Sus scrofa: one gene and its partner. The protein of the gene in region 2 interacts with the protein of the main gene of each other region in a pairwise test. Links are inferred from orthologs where the notes say so. Each region holds a gene or a part of one and is shown on either strand. Other genes may lie near its edges.

Region 1 (4,119 bases), on a different chromosome or scaffold from region 2:
CATGCCCCTTACACTTCCCGTCGGGGAAGGCCCCTCCCAGGCTTCCTTGCCTCCTCTTCACCCAGGGAAAGAGAGCTTCTTTCTGCCCCAGGGCCCGGTGCCCTCGGAAGCCCTCCAGCCAGTGTCCCTCAGAGCTTGGCCTCTCCATCCGAGCGTGCACCTGGAGGTCTGGAAGCCACCCGGAGCTTACTCTTTTCTGAGAGCGTCACTTCGAAGTCCGCCACCCTTCCACATTCCCAATGCTGTTCTTTAGAGGTTTGGTTCTGGAGACTGCAGGCTTATTTGACCTGCGGCAGGTAATGCAGAGCAAAGTGCCAGTGGGGAGCCGGGAGGCACCAGCGCTTCGAGACGCTGGCACCTAGATTGGACGTAGGGCTGCGTCGGACCCAACTTCTGTGAGATGAACAGAATTTTTGGTTCAACATCTTTAGCTTGGATTTTGTCTTAATTCAACCTATATAGCTTCCTGAAATTATATTTTATTCCTTCCAAAGTCTACGAGATGGGAACTCAACCTCGGACACCGTGCGTGAGTGGGTCCCACGAAGGAAATTCGCATCCCATAGGGAGCCGGTGGTCACCGAAGTGCCGGGCGCCGAGAAGGTAGGGAAATCCTTCAAGTCCAGCCAGTGGTGGGACACACACTACCTCGCGGGCTCGCCTTACCCCTGGCTCAGACCAAAGGCAGTCGTGGTTGTGATTGGTGGAATTAGGAAAACCAGCTGGTCTCACCCACAATGGGCCTGGATTGGCCTCCACACTCAGTCGCTTTTCTACAGTCTAAATCTAGAACCGCTTAGTGATAAATCCCGCCTTCAAAGGCGTTTGATAACAGTTTTATGTGTTGTAAGGCAAACGGTGATTGGTCACAGAGCTCACGGATTCTGTCGGTAGTAAACACAGCGAGGCTCCTGGGACCGCGGATTGGTCAGTGTTCCGGGGGCCGAGTAAATTCCTCCAGATACCGCGCGCCGGCTGGCTGCACTTCTGTCCCGGCCCCGCCCTCTCCCCTTCTGATTGGTTGCACCCCTGCCGGAGGGGACGAGAAATGCCGCGGAGTAGGCGATCTCGCGTTGCGTCACTTCCGTTTACTGTGTGCAGCCGCCGCGGTGTTCTCAAGAGTGCCGCGGCGAAGGGGTTGAAGGAGCTGGGCAACAAGAGGCGGGGTGGACGGAAGAGGGAGGAAATCCCATCACCGAGGAGCCAGCCTGGACGTTCCGGTCTTCTGCCACACTGTCGGGTCGGATCGAAGAAGGGTCACCGCCTCCTCCAGCGAGAAGGGGGGCGGAGCCCGGCTCAGGTGAGGCGACTCTGTCAGCGGGAGCGGTGGTGGCGCGCGCTGGCGCGCTCACGTGGAGACAGTTGAGCTCTGGGGGAGCTGGGTGGGCGGCGCGATCAGGGTCTTGTCTAGGTGTCTGGGCGCGCGCCGAAGCGTACCGGTGCCCCCCCGCGTCTGCCCTGCCTGTCTTTCCTGAGGGTTATTGTTACCCTCAGAGCGGAGGGGCCAAGGCGGGTGGGAGGCGTGTTCTGCGCAGGCGTCCCCCGCGTCCCGACGCCAGGCTGTCTGTCCGCCGAGTGGGGCGGGGGCTCTTGCCCCCTCTGATCTGCGGGCGGGCTACGTTGGTTCCTGGGATCGCGTGGGAAAGACCAGCACCCTGGCAGGGTGAATAGAGAATCTGCGGAATGGGGTCGGGTGGCTTCCTTGCCCCTGTCCTGGGTCTCATTGAGCGACGAGGTTTCGTTTCACCAGAGCAAGGCCAAGGCGAGCTGGAATCGGGAACCGGCGGCTGAACCAGGAGGGGCGGAGCCAGTGTTTTGGAATGCCGCAACTAAAAGGACTAAAGTGTTTATAGGCATTTATTGAAAACCCACTGCTTCCAGGCTTCGTGCTAGGAGGTGTAGGGGATGCAGTGGTAAGAACAGTCTGTCCCCCTCCTCCCTTGTTTGGAGGACATACAGGTTTATGCATGTTAGGCAGTGAACTAAGGGGAGTTGAAGGTTAGTTTTTTTCCTTCCAAAAAGGTCATTTGCTATTAAGTCAGTCTGTATTCTGGCCTTGTGGACGATACTGTGGAAGCTAATTTCTGAATAGGACACAAATCCTGAATATTTAACTTGGCAAAAAATTTTTACATAAAGGCGCAGTAAAAGCTTCATTGCTAAGTGGTATACTTGGGTTCTGGGGTTAATTTTAATTAGTGGAAGTAAGAAACCTTTCACCTTCAGGAATTGAAGCAAAAATATTTCCAAAATGTGTTTCTATGCTTCTCTGTTTTAGTAGGTAGAAGATATGACATACATTGGGATCTTTTCTTTAGAGGTTGAAGAGAATGCTGTGCCTTACTCATCAATGATGATTTGTTGTCGTTATATAGGCTGTTGTGCCTTAGATAATTTTGAAAAGGTGGGCTGAATGCCTCATTTTCTGGAGAAACTGAATTCAGTGAAGTGCTATGATTTGGGTTGTGAGGATGGTAAGCTAAAAGATTAGCGGTGAGGGAAGAGAATTTTAAAGAAAAGCCCCTAAACCAAGGAAAGGCCTCCCACTATTGCTTTAACCCCCTCTGGAAATCCCAGGAAACTTGGGAAGACTGGCTGTGCCACCACTGCCAGCTTGGTGACCTGCCAGTTAAGACTTAACAGGTCGAGGACCTGTTCTGGTCTCTTGCGTTCTGCTAAATAAACAAACCAGGATTTTTTTTTTTTTTTTTTTTTTAAAGAGTCCTGAAGTCAACTTGTTTTTGGATTTGCCTTTTCTCTCCTAAAAGTTGTGTCAGGACAAGGTATAGTTAGCTGGAAATAGTTGCAGACCATATTCTGGCTATTTGAGGTGTTTAGCAAAATTCTGGAAGTGGTAAGATTTGCAAGAAAAGAATCTTAGAGTGGGATGTTTTCCTAAACTTAGGGTTCAGTGCTCTCAAAAGAGACTGTCACAAGAAGTTGAAGTCATTTTTAAAAAGTCACTTGGATACAAAATGTATGTAAATGTTTAGTATTTAAAGTACTTAACATGGGAGTTCCCATTGTGGCTCAGCAGTTAAGGAACCCGACTAGTACCCAGGAGGATGTGGGTTTGATCTTTCTCCTCAATCAGTGGGTTAAGGATCTGGCAATGCTGTGAGCTGTGGTATAGGTCGCAGATGTGGCTTGGTTCCTGAATTGCTGTGGTGTAGGCCAGCGGCTATAGCTCTAATTCAACCCTAGCCTGGGAACCTCCATATGCTGCAGATGCGGCCCTAAAAAGACAAAAATAAAATAAAAAATAAAGTACTTAGCATGAATTTTATTAAATTGAAGTTCTTTAGTGTGGGTAAGAGTTAAAACTATCTTACGTGTAGTGAGATATGAATCTGCCTCTATGGAAAGAGAAAAGAAAAACCCAAGATATTGATTCCATATTTGTTGTCACCTTTTATTTATTTTTAATGCAAATTTGTTGTAAACAAATATTTTCTTGTCTGTTGATTTTAAGCATATGAGTTCTCTTTTTCCTGTATTTAACATTTCTCAAATGTTGTCTAACAGAGCCAGATTTTGTAAGTGCAGCAGGTGGGCTGGAATGTAACACTACACTGAGCCTTTTGTCTACGGGTGAAGTCAACTTCTCATATGCTAAGAGACCAGCTGTTTCTGAGGGACTATTGCTCTTACAGTTGTTTTCATCATTTTTATCACTGAATAGTGGCTTTTAATCTCCAGACTCTATTTGGCGGTGGGGGATGGGGAGAGAGGGTGCCTTATTGTTTGATTAATTATACATCTATTTACTAAAAGCTCTATCTTTTTAAAAATTCTGTGGCTGCATCTGTAGCATATGGAAGGCCCCTGGCCAGGGATTGCATCCGAGCCACAGCTCCGACCTTCATGGCAATGCCAAATCCTTTTAAACCACTGCACCCAGCTGGGTATCAAACCCTTGCCGCCTCAGCCACCCGAGCTGCTGCAGCTGGAGTCTTAACTGCATAACGGCAGGAACTCCTAAAAGCTCTATCTTTCGGAAGCTCAAACTGATTAGGAATTGTGTTGGAGTGCTAACATTTTATTGTAATATAGATTATTGTCGTAGTATTGTAGTATTTAAGATTATTTTATCTGTAGATAATTTTCTTTGTGATATTC
Region 2 (3,511 bases):
CACAATGCCCTTGAAGTAGCGGTCCCCATTGCGGTAGAAACGTACCTTCTTGGCTTTCTTCTCGTTGCTCAGTGCCTGCAAGGTTCGGGTTCGGTAGAAGCTACAATGGGCGCTGTGAGTGGGGCTGGGCAGCCCATTCATCCGTGAGCCTCGCATGTTCCTGGATGTCTTATCTCTTTCGTCAAAATGTCCAAAATCAAGTTCCATATTTTGGTGGAACCTCAGAGACCTGAGTGTTGGAGAAAAGGGTGGGGATGAAAAAAAGCAAAGAAAAAGGGGTGAGGAGTGGAGGGGGGAGGGAGAAAGGAATTCAAATATTAGCCAGATCCAGATCTGCAATCTGCTGCTTGTGAAAAGAACTGGTTGAAAAAAGCCCGTGACCCATCTGCTGCTTGCCCCTGACCTGCAGGAATATTGATCTTAATAGAGAAGAAGGAGGGGCTGGGGGTGCTGGTGGCTGGGGGGTTGGGGTGAGCAATAGGGAGGGAGGCACTTTGGGCGCTGTTCCAAACAGAGGCGAGGGAGGGATTTTGAAATAGCTTAAAATCCTACTGACAGTGGCTCCTATCAAATTGTAACTTCAGGCTAAATACATTAAAACTGGCATCTGTTTCTTCACACATGCCCACATGACTAACAGTTGTAAATGAATCCATAGCCTGACAAAATTCTCCTTGAAGAGAACAGAAGGACCTAGCCAAGGTTAGCATCTCTGGCTGGGGAAGCAATCTTTGCACCTCAGTAAAATGACTAGGAAGGGGAATGTTTTAATTTTAATCCAAACCCTCTCTCCTGCTCTAATGTGTGCATCCCCTCCCCCCAGAATAAACTGGGATTCTCTTTTAAAGGGACAGCCTCTAGGGAATAGCCAGAGTCTTTGTGCTATTCATCAACCCTTTCCCCACCAAGCTGGTGCAGCTATCCAACATTCATAAGAAATAAGCTGGAAAAAAAGGATTAGAAAAATCAGTTATTTAGCAAATTATTAGTTCTGCTTCACCCCTGGTACCATTTGGTCACAAAATCTCCCTCCCCCACCTTTTCCTAGGTGGTCTACCTCCCCCCCCCCCCGCCGCCACTTCCACAATGATGCAGCCCCACCTCTTAATGGAATAATTTAATTGTTGAAAGATTCCCAAATGAGTCCCTGGACAGCATATGGGACCTTTAGAAGCAAGCACACCTTTCATTGTTCTGGGTTTCTATCCTGAATGAAGGGTCATTTTGCCCTCACAGCAGGAAATTCACCCCAAATTTGTCTATTTCCCAGGTGTGTTACTGAGGCAAAAGATGGTTGTCTATCAGATTTGATTTCCCCCTTTTTGCAGAAAGAAAGAAAGAAGGAAGGAAGGAATGAAGGAGGGAAAGGAAAGGAAAGGAAAGGAAAGGAAAGGAAAGGAAAGGAAAGGAAAGGAAAGGAAGAAAGAAAAGAAAAGAAAAGAAAAGAAAGAAAGAAAGAAAGAAAGAAAGAAAGAAAGAAAGAAAGAAAGAAAGAAAGAAAGAAAGAAAAGGTAGATAGATAGATCACACTATGAAACCAAATACAACAGAAGCCCCAAAGGCTAGCCAAGGTAGTGACAGCCTCGGAAACAAACTATTAACATGCATCACACAGATGGGGATAAAAGGACTCACAAAGCAAGCAGGGCTCAGCTGCTACACACTGCCACATTGAGATATTTGCAAGGGACCAGGAGGACAGGAGATAAAGGAGGACTGGTGCCTAGTAGATTTACCAGGCTCGGTCCCTCTAATCTTCCAATGTCACCATGACCTGTGCTGAGCTCAGCATTGTCTCTGTCAGACAACCTGCAGCGTAAAAGACCCCACCTCCTCAAGACAAGTAGCAAGCATTTCCCCGGACGAGCGAGCAACGCTGGGCTCTGCTTTAGAATCTGGGGTTGTATTATTCTAAATCGACATCACAGTGAAAACAAAGGAACATCAAACTCACTTTTCCAAAGCAAAATCCCAGGTAGAGGCTTAGGGAAAAACTCCGATAGAATAAGGGGGGAAAAAGGGTTGGGGGGTGGGGAGAGAGAGAGAGAGGGAGAGAGAACACACAGAGAGAAGGAGAGAGAGTGCTTTGCCTTGTGCTTTCCCGTTTGACATCTGTTACATTCTGCCTGAAAATCACTCGAAAGCCCCACTCACCGGTTTTCTGCTGGTTGGGTGGAGATGCTGAGAGAAAGAAAACCAATCTCTCTATGCCTTTGTTGTCTGAGCTCCAAGCAAGAAATTCCTGCCAGGGTGGATAGATGCCTTCTAGGTCCTAGTGCCTTGTCCAGCTTCTCCCCTATAACTCAGGCTTAGTGAATCCCCCCAACCTCCTTTGATTAATTACATGCTTTTCTTTCAATTCACAGGCTGCATTAATAGCTAGAAAGGTTTCATTTATAACCAACAGGAAATTGCAGGGTAGCAAAAAGATTGCACAGGCAAGTTCAGAATGCTACAACCAGCAATGTACTAGCCTTTTCTTTTAGGGAATTGGCAATTTCACTTGGCCAAAACCTTGGCTTCATCTGCCTGGGGGCTAGACTCAGACACTCGAACCAGGCTTCTTAGCAATGGTAGCTCTCTTCCTTTCACCTTCTTGAGAGAAGAACGACCAAATATGCAAATTCTTTAGGGCGTTTTAGTTCATGCATTCAACAACTGGTTCTTGTGAAATAAGGTTAGTGGAGTAGACTAAGAGGGAGTAGGAAAGAGACAAGGGAAAATCGTTCCAGAATTTCATGGAAGATGATGTTGAAGAAGGATCCCAAAGATCTCTTAGCTTGGTGTAGTAATTTTGTCAGTGGGATCTGCAGCATTTACCTTCAAGAGTCGAAGAGTTCAGATCTAACCTAGAGACATTTCCATGTGATGGCTACAAAACAGACATTAACAGCTATCAACTCAAACTGCCTATTTGTTACTAATTGGCTTCTTTATATCAAATATGTTATAAAGGAGGCAACCATATTGAATTCAAGAAAGCAGGCCAAACTATAAGACAAAAGAAAAGGTTGAGAAACTCCTGTGGGGGTGGCTACCATCTTCACAACTGAGGCTACATGCATTAATATGTAGCAACTTTGAACTATCATGGTGCCATTTTTGCTTGGCTTTCAGGAAGCTCAAAGCTAATAGCATGAACATGAATTATCTTCTATCCGATTCCTAGTATAATTAACCCTCCTTTTTAGATATAATGCTAGATGATTTATAGTTAAGCACTCGCTATGCTCATGTTTTACTGTAAGCTGCCTCAAAGTAGGATAAAAACATGATTTTTTTTCCTCTGGAAGGTGATGGCTTAGCAAAGTCTAAGCTATCTATGTTACTGGGGTGGTCAGTGTCAAGTGTGCAACCTGCGAAGTCAAGTTCTCCCAACATTTTGCTGCTCTCACGGTTTCTAAATGAGTACCTCAGGGGACAACATGTGCCTGCCCCATCTTCTTCATTTGTTTCTGCCCTACCTTGTGGCCACCTCTTGAAAATGCAAGGTTATTCAGGTCAAGGGCAG

The links.
Region 1: the proteins of DCX (region 2) and ZBTB5 interact in binary tests that used the Homo sapiens proteins (3 or more experiments, as listed by UniProt). The two-hybrid records come from large-scale screens. The link is inferred for Sus scrofa from reciprocal best matches to the Homo sapiens genes DCX and ZBTB5.

The regions. Positions count from the first base shown.
Region 1 is NC_010443.5:238,174,415-238,178,533, reverse strand, and holds the start of ZBTB5 (zinc finger and BTB domain-containing protein 5), read left to right. Parts: upstream 1-1,319; 5' UTR 1,320-1,905; coding exon 1,906-1,913; intron 1,914-1,920; exon of another isoform or gene 1,921-4,119. UniProt on the Homo sapiens protein: May be involved in transcriptional regulation.
Region 2 is NC_010461.5:91,442,073-91,445,583, forward strand, and holds part of DCX (neuronal migration protein doublecortin), read right to left. Parts: exon of another isoform or gene 2,155-3,511; intron 2,137-2,154; exon of another isoform or gene 1,955-2,136; intron 1,914-1,954; exon of another isoform or gene 1,636-1,913; intron 230-1,635; 5' UTR 208-229; coding exon 1-207. UniProt on the Homo sapiens protein: Microtubule-associated protein required for initial steps of neuronal dispersion and cortex lamination during cerebral cortex development. May act by competing with the putative neuronal protein kinase DCLK1 in binding to a target protein.